Linked DNA regions of Mytilus edulis. The protein of the gene in region 1 purifies or fractionates together with the protein of each later gene. This does not show direct contact. Links are inferred from orthologs where the notes say so. Each region holds a gene or a part of one and is shown in the gene's direction. Other genes may lie near its edges.

Region 1 (7,600 bases):
TTGTTTAGTTTCTAATCACAAAATGGTGTTTTTTCCTGTATAATCCATACAAAATGTGTTATTTTGTCACGTCCTGTAGCTTGAGAAAATGCACGGTGACCTATCATTTTTATTATATTTTTCAACATATATCAATAGATACTACGTTTTGGCAAAGTATGAACAAATTCTATCATTTTTATTGTAGACTCCTATACCACCTTAAGCATCTTAAAAGTTAAACACAGTCATACTGGTACATACAATTATGAGATAAAAACACAAAATCAAAAACAAAATGGTTTGCTCATAAAAAGAACATTAAAAGCACATATAGATTAGTTATTTAGTAAAATTAGCACAAAGCAGCAGAAGCACTATATTGAAGATAACAAAAAAAGTTTGTCATGCTGAAAATAAAAATAATGAACAGATATTAACTGGTTTTGCAGGCAAAACATTGGCATGAGCTGCAATACAGACCAAGAACTTATCAAGTTCAGTGGCGGAACTTTTCATAAGGAGGGGGGTGCTGAATGACCTAAGGGGGCCCAAATCAGTCATGCTTCAGTGATTCCCTATATAATCAAACTAAATTTTTCTACGAAAGGGGGCCCCCTGATCCGCCTATGAAGTTCTAGAATTGAGTTAAAGATGATTGCTATCGAAGCTCATCTGGCAGCTCATTCCAAAGCTTAGCACCCGCATACCTTAAAGATTGTAGGCCATATGCAGAAGTTCTTACATGTGGTAGATCGGCTGTATTCTGGTATCTGAAAGAGTAAGTGTTTTCTTTCGAGTGTATTAAATTATGGAGATATGTACAGGACCATCTTTATTAACAATTTTGAAAACTTCAATAGCCTAAGATCGCATTCTTCTTATTTTTAAAGATGGTAATTTTGATTTGCAGAGTAGATCTTCATAACTTGCTGAATAGTCTTCAAAGATAAAACTTATTGCTCTCTCTTGAATTTTCTCTATCAATTTGTATTAACCTCCCCACAAACTGACAAACTAGTGGGCAGTAATTAAAATTGGACATTATGAAAGAATAATAAATTGGTAATTTTCCGAGTTTAGTCACTGAGGTGTTTATCTATTCTTTTTAATACATTTAATTGTTTCTTTGGATGCTTTTTTACATATTATAGAGACATAAAATTGAGAATGGAAATGGGGAATGTGTCAAAGAGACAACAACCCGACCAAAATAAAAAAACACAACAGCAGAAGGTCACCAACAGGTCTTCAATGTAGCGAGAAATTCCCGCACCCGGAGGCGTCCTTCAGCTGGCCCCTAAACAAATATATACTAGTTCAGTGATAATGAACGCCATACTTATTTCCAAATTGTACACAAGAAACTAAAATTTAAATAATACAAGACTAACAAAGGCCAGAGGCTCCTGACTTGGGACAGGCGCAAAAAATGCGGCGGGGTTAAACATGTTTGTGAGATCTCAACCCTCCCCCTATACCTCTAACCAGTGTAGAAAAGTAAAAGCATAACAATACGCACATTAAAATTCAGTTCAAGAGAAGTCCGAGTCTGATGTCAGAAGATGTAACCAAAGAAAATAAACAAAATGACAATAATACATAAATAACAACAGACTAGTAAACCTTTTCAACATCTCTCGACATCGACTAATGACACCTACAGTTTACAGGTAAAATGGATGGGTCGTCTCAAAGACAAAAATCATCATGATTATCATCACGTAACATATTGGATTGGCGGTTTTATACTGTTTTGACTATTATAGTTTAAGAATATATATCAACCAAATAAATAAATAAATAAATATATGTATGGTGGCCGGATGCGGCCATTTATTTCGCCTTTTCGCGTTTTCGTGAATTCTCCGTTCATTTTGCAAACGCGAAATTGGGAATTCGAGAAATCGAGAAATTGAGAAAATCGGGAAATCGGAAAATCGAGAAATAGGGAATCCAGAAATTGGAAATATATAAGATCGGGAAATCGAAAAATCGAGAAATCAAGAAGGCAAAAACGCCAAAACACGAAAGAGGAAACACGAAAACGCTAAAACGCGAAATGAATTCTCAATTTTGCGTTTTTGCTTTCTCTATTTCTCGATTTCCCGATTACTCAATTTCTTGATTTCCCTTTCTCGATTTCTGGATTTTCCCGAAAGGGGAAACGTCTACCACACATATGTCTCTGTCATATAATATTCTTATTTCGTATGTATTTGCACGACATTTCATGTTGAATTGATTAAACAAATATTCCAATCATTCAGAATCCTAACCCATTTTCTCTTCACTTTTGTGATGATGTGAGTCTTTCGCCAAATATTTGCCGCATGCCAATAACGATTTAATTTGTTGGTGTAAAAGCTTTCATGATGTTTTTCAAAAATGAAAAAGAATACTGGTCCGTCCGTATCACACTTGTGAACACGCTCAACTTTGTGTTTTTCCACCGATCTTCACCTCAGTCGATGTACATTTTCAATTTTTACATAATTACATATTGATTTTTTAGGTCAAAGGAAAAGATCACGTTTTTTTTTATTATTATTATTATCAACGACGGTCTTCTCCGCTTCAAGATATCTTGTTCGAGGTAAAGTTTTTCCTAGATGAATTTTGAAAAAAAATATAAAAGACCCCTCGTTTCAATGCTACAACATTTAAGCAGTGACTGGTGAATACAGAATTCAAGTGGAACACCAAATTGGTGAATTGAAATGATACAAAGTATTGAGTACATTATTGAGGCATACAAGGCCAAAACTAACAGACATGTGCCGCCCTTGTAAACCAACATAATCATTGTTTAATTTTAAAATATCAACTACAATAGAACATGATTTGTTCTTTTCGTTTTCCAAATTCAACCAGGACAGCTAGAAGCTAAATGTCTAAAAGATGAAATGTGACTTAAAGTCTATCATTTTCTTTATAACAAATTAAAACAAAATCATGTCATTTGGACTCTGTATGAAAGTTTTATCATTGTCAATGATTGAAAGCAATAAAATTAATAATGATCTCATTTATTTTTTTATTTTTGAGACTACCCTTCACATTTTACCTGTCGTAGTCGTTCTCAACTGTAGGTGTCGAGAGATGTTAAAAAGGTCTACTAGCAGTTAACTGACATGCCAGCTCCAGACTTCAATTAAACTGACTGAAAGATTATGATGTTCATTGAAATTTAGTTTAAAACCTATTATTACACCTAGAAGTTTAACGTTATCTTCACATTCTATTTCATTACCTTCTAATTCAAATTTAGGTTTTTGTCTTTAGTTTTTTTACCTACAGGTATTGCTTGACATTTTTCTGGATTAGCTTTCATTTTATTTTATTGTATATTGAGAACCAATTTATCAAAATTTTTGCTTTCCACATCTTCTGAAGTATTAGCAAGGAATTGTATATTTAAATATACAATTCCTTGGTATTAGTTAATTTATCTAAATCTTTATCTGCATATGAAAGGGGGTTGTCATCTGCATGATTATAGAGTTCACTTTTATGAATAAAATAAAGAAATGTCATTTAAAATTTGAAAAATAATGTAGGCCTTAATATCGAACCTTGTGGCACCTTTTAAACATTGTTTGTCAGTAGCTTAAATTAGTACCTCCTTTAACACACTGTTTTCTGTTAGTTAAATAGCTTTCCAAAAGTTTAAGAGAGTAGGTGGAAACACCATAGGATTTAATATTAGTAGGAGGAGGTCATGGTGTAGGCAGTCAAAAGCCTTGGACAAGTCTATAAATAGACGTATTTACACTTGTATGCAAATTTGTCCGCCATTGCGTAAAATCACACAGGTTCCCGTAAACTTTGACATCATAATTTAAAATTATTTGACGTCACAATTTAAAAGTGATTGTTGCTCAACGTCAAAAGGTGATTCGGAGTAGATTTAAGGTCATTCGCGGAGGCAAGATTCAGCTAAATACCAAAAGTGTAAAAACGTTTATTTATATAGCTGAGAGTCAGCACTACATATTTATTCTGATCTTAAACCTTTTCCAATATTCAATTTAAGGTCTTTAGTTTCCTTTATCAAGAGTGTATTTTTTATGTAGAGTCGGTATTTCTTGTTCTTCTTTTAATTTATCTGGTAAAACAGCCGATTCAAATGATTTATTCAGTAGTTTAGAAATTGGATTGGATAATTCAAATAAGATAATTTTAGTACTTTTGAAGAGATAGATACCATCTTTTCCTGTTGCCTTAAATTTTTGTTACTTTTTTTTCAACAAAACTCAGAAATTTACTGTATGCACACCAGTGGCGGATCCAGGGGGGGGGGTTCCGGGGGTGCGCACCCCCCCTTTATTTTTGCCGATCAATGCATTTGTATCGGGACATATGTTTTGCACCCCCCCCTTTGCCCTGGGTGCCCTGGGTTAACACCCCCCCTTTCGAAAATTCCTGCATCCGCCCCTGCACACATGGAAAACTATTTGTTTCTAAATTAGAATGAGTAAAGAAATAATTGAAGTATTAAGTTATGATCAAATTATTAATGTTATTTTTACAGCGCCATGTCATTTGCATGAGTACAAATACGGTAATCGTTGCACTTCCGAATATGGTAGGGAAATTAGTTTTTCAATGGGAAATAAACTGACTACCTATTGTTCAAATCTCAAAGAAGATCAGTCAATAGCCGCAGGTAACCAGTCAGTTGCTTTTGTTCGCAGCGCCCCCTATGGTCAAGTAAATCCGGAAGTTATCAAAAATGATAAAAAATGAAAACTGACATTTCCTTATTATGTGAAGTTTAAAGGTAATTAATCGGATGAACGACATAAGCAAAACAGGGACATGTAAAACATTATTTATATAGATTGTGCACTTGCAGTCAAGTCGACATTTTGCATTCAAAAAGTAGTATCAAATATCAATCCTGTCGAACTCTAGCTCTTCCTCTTTTATAGTTTATAGGAGGAAGAGCGAGATTTTTCTTTGAGGAACAATATAATTTCGGGTAGGCTCACATGTATCTGTCACTGAACGTAACCGTTAGTAGGTTAATGCAAGGTAGGAACCAGATCTATGAGATCCAGATTAATTCTCAGATAGAATTGTTATAATTTCTCAAGGGCAACAAGGTAGATAATTTAGTGAAAGCTTAGCTAATTGAGTTACCCCCTTTAAATAAAGTCATTACTTACTTACTTCCTTACTTATTGTTGATGTTCTATTTTGGACAGGTCAGGAATAACCATCAATTGGTGGATTATACCTCAATTGACATATAATCCACCAATTGACATTAATGGTATAGACCAATACACCTTATCGCTAATCCTTGCCGACCCAGCCGCAGCTTTTAGACGCATACAACAATCACTTTTCCATTGTGGCGTCAGATATTTTGTATTGTGACGTCAAAATTTTACGGGAACCTGTGTGATATCTAGTAATGGCGGACAAATAGCGATAAGGTGTATTGGTGTATAATTCTTTGTTCTTCAAAACAAATTATTCTACCCAAATGAAGCATTGTTTTCTTGAAATCATATTATGGTATGAAAACTTGTCAAACATTCCTAGTTTAGTATATATAGTGACATAACATATTGCATTTAATCAATAATTGTATTTTCAGTTTCTTCTATTGTTACATGTACAAATGTATCTTGTCAATTCTTGATTGGCATATTTACCTGTAAAGTGTAATCACCTGTCAATACACCTTATCGCTATCTCCGGCTGACCCAGCCGCTTGAACTTTTGACGCACACAACAATCACTTTTCCATTGTCATGATTGTGGTGTCATATATTTTGTATTGTCATGTCAACATTTTACGGGAACCTGTGTGATATCCAGTAATGGCGGACAAATAGCGATAAGGTGTATGGACATCATTTACTGTCTGCAGTCATCATGGTCATGTGATCATGAGTACAACTCCTCAGGTGAATGGAGCTCTTTGTTCAGTCAGTTAAATCACTTATTTGAGTAGCAAATTCAAAGTTTTGTCACAAATTGTGATTTTGTAGTTTTACCAAAATTTTAAACCCATTATGTTTAAAAAATATCTTTTCATTAGTAAAATTGAAAAAAGTGAATTTTTGCTTCTTTTAAGTATCAAGGTTTATGCCTTTGATGCTATCATTTAGCTGCAAATTCTATTTTAGTTGAAAAAATGCTATAATAATGGCTTTACATAATGAACTGATACTTTCTTAACAGATTTTTCCCAGCAGTGGGAGTATTTTTCCTGTAAAGTTCAAGGTTTCATCTTTCAGATTATGTCATAAAATTTTACTGTTCACCATAAAAATTTCACTGTTCGGGGTGTTGAAATTAGTGGGGGTTATTAAAATAATGATTCTTAAAGGAGTGATTTTTGGGAAGGAAATTGAGGTATGATACTTAAACAAGTGAGTTTTATGTCATTATCCTCGATTCAGTACAAGGTCATCACCTGAAATGACCTAGTCATCCTAGACAACATGGATGTTAGTTCTGATAAGTTTAGAAACATAATTAGTCCCTGGACCATTAGTATTCTATATTTAAAGCTACAGTAAAATTAAATCACTTCTTCTAGTGATTATTTTGTACTACTTAAATAGGTGATTATTAAAGAAAGACAACTCTTACTTTCAACCTTTATGGAAATAATGTTACTTGAATCAGTGATTTAGAAAATCACTCATTTAAGTAAGTCCCCTGACTTGTTAATACTTGAATTCAATTATCAAAAGTCAATCATGGTCAATACATGTAGTACAAATGTTTCAACAAAAGAATTGTTGTACACATGCATTCTCAAGAGATGCAGAAGGCTTTGACAAAACTTAATTTGAAGGACTCAATAAGGGTCATAAAATAGGTTGCAAGTTGCAAAATCATGCTCCTATCTCACACTAGTATTTTATTACAAAAAATTTGCATTATACGTCAATTGGTCCTTACCAATTATAATATACCTTAATTGGTGGATTATACGTCAATTGAGGTATAATCCACCAATTGGTGGTTATTCCTGACCTGTTGGACGCCCCTATTTTTGGGTCTCATGAATTAGCGACAAGGTTGCATTACAATATAAAGTATATCATGTTGGCACCCTAAAAAAAGCAGGACAGACTGGTGATCCCAAACTGTATATACCCTTTTGCTTCTATGAAACTACAATGACACAAATGTATAAATTTTATTAAAATTCATATTTTTGAATCTCAATACCTCAGGTCAATGTACATTAATTTTATATCAAATGGACTATAAAATTTACTTGATTTAACCAAGTATTCAAATCAACCAAGTTCTACCCATCAGTGGTAAAAATGCATTGATCATACAGAATTTTACTAAGACTTTTAAATTAGTTCTACTCATTAGAGATTTTAGCACAAGCGAGTTCAACACAACAGGATGCATCTGTAATTCACAGTCAATTGGGCAAATACAATGTACTCAAATATCATGAATACAAAACTGTACTTAAGATCAGTTATTACATTTCAAAGATAATGAGTATTATTTCAATGCTACATTAACATGTTTGTTTCTTTTGTTCATAGTCATACTACCAGCAGGAGATATTTGATAAGAGGAAAACACACAAACTGATGACATTTATTGATATTCCTTCGATGTACATACA
Region 2 (7,037 bases), on another chromosome or scaffold:
GGGTTATTCCATTATTTTGTGTATTTTCTGATAGTGGTATATCTTGAACATCCTCTGGATCTCTACATGTAGCATCACCAGATGGCACCACTTGAGCTGAATGACGACCTTTTAAACTGGTTAAACTCATAGTTCTCTGTGTAACCCATTCTGTCAGTGACTGTTCCTTAGGCCTTTGTTGTAGAATTTGTTGGACACAAGCTCTGAATATGGACGGAAGTTCAGATGATTGGGGTTCATTTAAAAGTGAATCTCTAAACAAAGCTAAAATGCTCCCACATTCTTCTGGTTTTACTTGATAAAATAATTCCTCCAGTTCTAAACGTTGTAATTGGGGAATCGTATACCCTTTTGGAGGAGTAGTAATCAACCAACTATAGTCTACACCAGTCTTTTTTCTTGTTTCTTCTTGTTCTTTGTCGATTCTGACTTTCTCCAGTTCCTTTATATTGTAATCAAGTTCTGACATTAATGAATCAGCAACAATTGACTTCTCATTTCTGGAAGGAGGTTTGCTCTGATCATTTGATACTAGAGATTTCCATACTGATTTTAAGGGCATCATCTTCAAATATGAAACGGAACTGAAAAATTGAATAGATCTATAAATTATTTTTATGAAATAAATATATTGACAATTTAGAATGAAAATAGATGCCATCCTATGACACCATACCAAGCTAACAGTACATTTTTTGTACATGAATCACATTTCCAAGTACTAAAGTACAAAGATGTAATTTTACCTATTCACCTTACATGTAAGCCAAAATGTACAGATTGATGCAATGCATTCATCACAGCTCATGAAAAATCAAACTTGAAATGCAAAAAATGTAGGTCTATTTTACACTTCTATATACTTATGTACATGTGCATGTTGAAATCTATATATTGGCAGATCTTTTTTTGTATATACGTATGTAAATAATGTTTTTATGATTTTTAGATTTCTATAGAACATTATAATCATGATTATAAGTATTTCTAATTGTTTTCTTTATGATATATATCTGACATATTGCTGGTGCTTACTTAATTATAGGATGTCTGTTAAACATGTTAAATGTGAATCTTGCTGTATGAATCTGTAGAGTCATTATTACTTATAGAAATATAAAATAAAGTTTATGGTTGTTTGTTGCATCTTAACAGTGTTGTAATGTTCTAATTGAGGTCTTCTTTACATTTAATTTAATAAACTCATTTTCTAACTGTTTATGATTATACAATTTAACTTTTCTTTAAAAAGAAATACCTGCAAGTTTAGCGTTATATTTTTCTCATTTAAAATGTTCACATTTGTTTTAGTTAGGGCCTTTTCTAGCCTACTACATGGATCAGACAGTGTTATAATTTTTGTCTGTGGTACTAAAATAACAGTCTGTCATGGGTACTACATGTACTTGTACAAATAACTTTTATTACCTTGAAGAAGTATATAATATATACTTCATTAAGCTAATCATAATATTTGAATTATCTCCCTTTAATTTTTGTCAAAAATGTACATGTACATGTATATAAGTGATTTTTTTTTACAATCCTGCCTTTTTTCTAAGTCACAATAGAACAATTCATGATTAGAAGAAAACAAGAAATTTTGAAGTGATAATCAAATTTGGACTCATCATTTGTAGAGAACAGATATTTCACTAATGAGGAGAAATATTTTACTCACAGGGCTAAAAAAATATGAAAATAACAATCAAAACCAAGGAGTAAACAAAGACTCACAAAATTAAAGGACATTTACATCAACAGTTAATAAGAAACAACAGTAACTCCACTCAAATCCGGGAGAGAAATTAGTGAAAAAGTGTTTTAAAATTGGTACAAATGTATAATATTTGTTTGATTTGGCTTGTTTAATAGTTGTGCGTTACGTTTTATGCAGTGCCAGTGGCGTAGCTTGCATGTATGCTCAGATGCTCTTGAAAGCATCCACATCATTTTGACTAAAAAAAATAAAATATATATATATATATAATTGCATGTGTTCGCAGCGGATACAGACTATGGTATACGAATGTAATAAGGGTGAGGATATAAAAATAGCTTCCAATCATTTGCGAAGCAGTATGCATGGTCTTTTCTTCAGGATCATTTAGTTAATGTAAACAAGATGGATAAATCGAAGAAGTGTTCGCGACTGTTTTCGTAAAAAGTCTATGTCGCAGCGCGTTGTCGGCTGCAACAAGCTAAGAGGGCCAGAATACGCATACCTGCGTCATGTTTGGTCTGAAATTGAGCTTAGGGGAGCAATGACATAGCAACGTTACTACAAATGTAGTTAACAAATACACCATCTTATCCTGATATTGTTTCCTGTAAGACCAAAGACGTCATGATAAAAACTCTATTTGTATTAGAGTATAATCATTCATGGGTTTATAAATACCCTTTTCCATCTAGGTACAAGTATTAATTATATTTTCAATAAAAGAACAGAGTTCCAATGAAAAGGTAGTCACTCCGGTTCTAATATTCCGCAGTTCCATATATAGAAGAAAGGAGTCTGTTTTTTTAGATGTCACTCAAATATAAGTTTTTGGTGTGAAACTTTTACATAAAATATTTGTGAATTGAGTGATGGTAGATAATCGAGAAAACAAATAAACTATTGGAAATATCATATACATGATATATTGGTTGGTATTTTGAAATTAAACAAGAAAACAACTAGTGTCAGATTGTAGTGGAGTACACATGCATGCATTCAGGAAAAATCTCCCGAATAATAAAATTTTCTGCAAAAAACAGTCCCAAAATTTTTTAAGCATGTTACACATACACATCATTTCAACCCTGGCTATAGTCCAAATAATTATGACGTCTTGAAAGGCTATTATAATTTTTTTTCTTTGACGCCTTAGTAAGGTGTCAAAGAAAAAAATTATAATAGCCTTTCAAGACGTCATAATTATTTGGACTACCCTGGCTACGCCACTGTGAGATGAATCCGGGTCCGTTCGCGCCCATTCATGTTCGCACCCACTCATGTTCGCCCCCTTTCACTTTCGCACCCTACATGTTCACACCCAAAGTCCGTTCGCATCCTACATGTTCACGCCCAATTTTAATTGGTTTTGGGTTTAATAACTTTGTAATCAAGTTTTGGCAAGTAGTATTCTTATAAGTATAATTGTTTTCGTTGTCTCAAAATAAAGTGAGACAGCATTTTTTATTGTGTTGAATAAATCTTAATTATGTTTTGGATATATAGTGTATTGTTAAAAAAAATAATATTCCTTTCTAAATAAAGTGGGATTCTGTCAACGTTTTATTTTGTGTTGAATAACTCTTAATCATGTTTTGGTTAGTGTATTGCTATATTTTATTGTTTCATTGTTTCAGATCAAAGGGACCAAGCTGTTAAAAACAATTATCTTTTGTGTTTTTCATTTAAAATCTTCAATCTTTTACTCATACCAAGCTATAAATACATTCAGTATTTACACGAAAACATTTAAAAACAACAATCATGATTTTCCAATAATTTTGGGCGCAAACGTGTAGAGTGCGAACGGACCTTGGGTGCCAACGTGCGAGGTGCGAACGTGTAGGGTGCGAAAGTATATTGGGCGCGAACGGACCTGATACCCTGTGAGATTATGTTGTGATTCGGGGTATAATTTTGAAGGAGATTGGTAAAAAATATACAGCACAAATATCCCTTTAATAAGTTGTTTTGAAAAAGTGTTTACATGTGAGTATATACATTACATGTACGGCATAGTAATTATATAATTTTTTAAGTGCCAGTATTTGGCATTTTCATCAGATTCATCATTCTTATAAACTTGTACGACACTTCACTCTTTTCTATCGACTCATCATGTCAGAAAATGTTCCTCCTTTTTCTTATAATATTTACCTAGATATGTACAAAGCCTTAATTTCGGTAAAGAATTAAATTCATGATTCCAAAATAATTCTCATCATTTTGACAGATGTTATAGAACTTATTTGTCTTACGGTTTTTGATTGGTCGAACAAATTTTTATAGCCAATCAAATTTAAGTTTACTTACGCATTCAAGGAAATAAATTTATTTGTCAACAATGGCACAACATGGTCATGGGCAACATCAGAGGCCCATTCAACAAGACTGGGCCAATAGAGAATACATTGAAGTTATAACTGGAAGCATAAAGAAAATATCCGACTTTTTAAACTCGTTTGGTAATACATTGTAGCCACCTATTCTTTTAACATGACAAAAAATATCAAGCACCTGTAGCTGTTGTACATACATTTGTAATTTATACATGACATACATGTTATAATGCGTATATTCCTGAATTCAAAGACAACTGATCCTTCTTCTTTAAGTTTCATAGCAGTCCTTCATGTATTGAAGATGAATCTCCTGGTGTCAAATATTTAAAAACTGAATGCTTCTTTTTGTAACTTCATTGGGGTGTAAAAGTGTTGACCAAGTAATTATATAAGTACATTTTGTATGAAGCGCAGATTCGCTTCATTCTAAAAATGTGCGCACGGTCAACGCTTTTACAACCCTATGAAGTTACAAAAAGAAGCATTCAATACTTATGATTACATTTTTTAGCATAATGATCATGAAAACACGAATTTTATAATTGTTTTATTTAATTCACCTGTGCACTTTATTGTGGGACCACGTGTTATCATGAATGATAGGTTTTAAATATTGAGTAATGCAATTGCTTAAGGAATAACATGTGATGTGCAGTTAGCCAATCAGAATAAAGTGTTATAATGAAACGTACATCTAATGTAATAGAAAACTTTCGAGTTCGATGCATTTCCGTCAAAAACTCTGGTTTTAGTGAACGTCATTTGTGCGTTTAGGGGCGTCGTCACTTCCGTTTCAATGTTGAGCGAGTGGTTGGAAAACTATAATTCTATATTGTACGAATTATTCAGCAAATTTAATTCTCAAAATTGACAATCAGCACTGCTGTCATTAGGGAATTGTCATTAAGTACCTACAGAACAACCATTATTTCCAGTTTATCCTGCACAACGAGGATCACTAAGACGCTTGATGAACGTAAATAGTGCAGGGATACAGGCGATCCCCTCTATCTGGTAAATGACGTCATAAAGGCGCACATAATTGACGAGTTTTTGCCGGTGATGGATGAACTCGAAAATGGTCTATTATAAAGTAATACAAGGTAACCAGAAAAAAAAGACAAACAAAATCAAAATAATGATAATAGTACATTTGATAACAATAATAGTTGAGGGTAGAAAATAGGGATTAAGGCAAATTCTGAGATCATTCTCTTGGTTCCATATACTGTACTGCAGAAAACTATTTGTTGTGGCAAATGATTCAAATCTATAGCTGTACATGTATGTGGGTAAAATGATTATTTATAACTGTCTTTTGATGTTTGCATTTGCTGAATATAGTGTGGATTGCTACATCTGGTTCTATTGTCTATTAAAAGGGGTCAAAAGGTTAAATTTGATGTAGGGAATGCAACAATTTCGTGTATACTGTACATCGGATATAATTAAGTACAATGTAGAAGAAAACAAGTTTGTATCTTAGGCGCCTAATTTCAAGTGGAAACCAATTTATGTCTGTCAACATTTTAGTAACTGACCTAGTGTTATGGATGCGGTATATGTTAAGCGGACTGCTCTTCTCTCATGTCTCTGAACTTTTTTAATCTTTATAATTTGATGTGGATACTAAATTGATGAGCAGTACTCTAACTTTGGGCCTAAAATAAAATATTGTTTGTTTCCCCAATCCCAACCGACCCTGCAAAAACAGTGCTACTCATAAAATTTTATTGTCAAATTTAAGTCAAATATTATTTTATTCATTTCCGATTTTCAGGCTTGCAGGATCGTCCAATGTTGTTCAAGCTTTTTGGAAAAAATAAAAAAAATTTCCCTACCTTCCGACCCATACCTGGCTTGGCAGGGTCGGGATCGGGGAAACAAACAATATATTAATTTAGGCCTTGGTCGAACAATTAAGAGCTTTAAATGCATGAGCTTAACTTCATTTAGCTGACACTATTTTAAGATTAAACTAAAAAGTATAACCATTATTTATATTTCAGACACATCATGTAGATCTAGACTGGCTACTTTGAATGAGAAGTTGACCCAGCTGGAAAGAAAAGTTGAATATATAGAAGCACGGGTAATTTAAAACTCTGTATTGAAAACAGCTCATCTTTTCTTTAAATCTTTCTTCATTTCTTTCACTAAGTGAAATTTTTGTTCTAAGTGAATCTCCAAATATTTCATAAAATAAGCAAAATTTAAATGCAATGAAAAATTACTTTCTTCCATCTTGTCCCAAATATTTTATAGCTGATCAACAGATATTTTTGGTATGTACATGTATAGTACATGATAAATAAAGTATAGCAATGATATTACCGGACTGGTGACCCCATAAAGTTAAGGTCATTTAAACTTAGACATTCTTAGCAATTACTGGTAAATGCAATTTAAAACAAATTGAGATGAGGAAAAAAAGGTACAATTCAATAAAGATGAATACATGTACATTTACATGCACATTCTTACCCAAAAAGGTTTATGGCATTGTATACTTGATGATATCAATAAAAAAGCAAATACATTGTGTAAAACAAAATACATACTGTGGATTTGTATATTAACATTGATACAATGTACCAAACTTCATGGATGGAGGAAAAGTAGTGATTTCTTGGTTTTTAAGCCAATTGCACAAACTCAGTCATACAAATTTTCATTGTATACCAGCCTCTTAGTCATGTTAGTCTGGGATTTATGTATTTCAATGTATTTCACACAAATAAAAAGGTATCAACATTAATCAAATATGCAACATTAACATGCTTGAGCAAAATTATTTTTATTGACAAAAGAGTTCAAAAATATTTTAAACTGATAATCTTACTTGAAAAAAAACCAGTCCTATAGTATAAAACAAACTGGTATCATTGTACAATGTACATGTAAATAGTTTTGAAACATGATATAATTTTAGTGTACAGAGGATGAAATTATAGATAACAATGATTCTATAGAAG

Evidence for each region. The genes of interacting proteins can lie anywhere in the genome.
Region 2: the proteins of cytoplasmic FMR1-interacting protein 2-like (region 1) and protein BRICK1-like purify together in Drosophila melanogaster (affinity purification with western blotting; 4 studies listed by BioGRID). This does not show direct contact. The link is inferred for Mytilus edulis from reciprocal best matches to the Drosophila melanogaster genes Cyfip and HSPC300.

What each region holds. Positions count from the first base shown.
Region 1 is NC_092351.1:9,973,754-9,981,353, reverse strand, and holds the start of cytoplasmic FMR1-interacting protein 2-like, read left to right. Parts: upstream 1-4,578; 5' UTR 4,579-4,762; intron 4,763-7,600. UniProt on the Drosophila melanogaster protein: Plays a role in guidance and morphology of central and peripheral axons and in synaptic morphology. Also required for formation of cell membrane protrusions and for bristle development.
Region 2 is NC_092344.1:56,321,698-56,328,734, reverse strand, and holds the start of protein BRICK1-like, read left to right. Parts: upstream 1-4,028; 5' UTR 4,029-4,064; coding exon 4,065-4,185; intron 4,186-6,071; coding exon 6,072-6,154; intron 6,155-7,037. Other genes in the region: protein RD3-like, read right to left, coding at 1-565.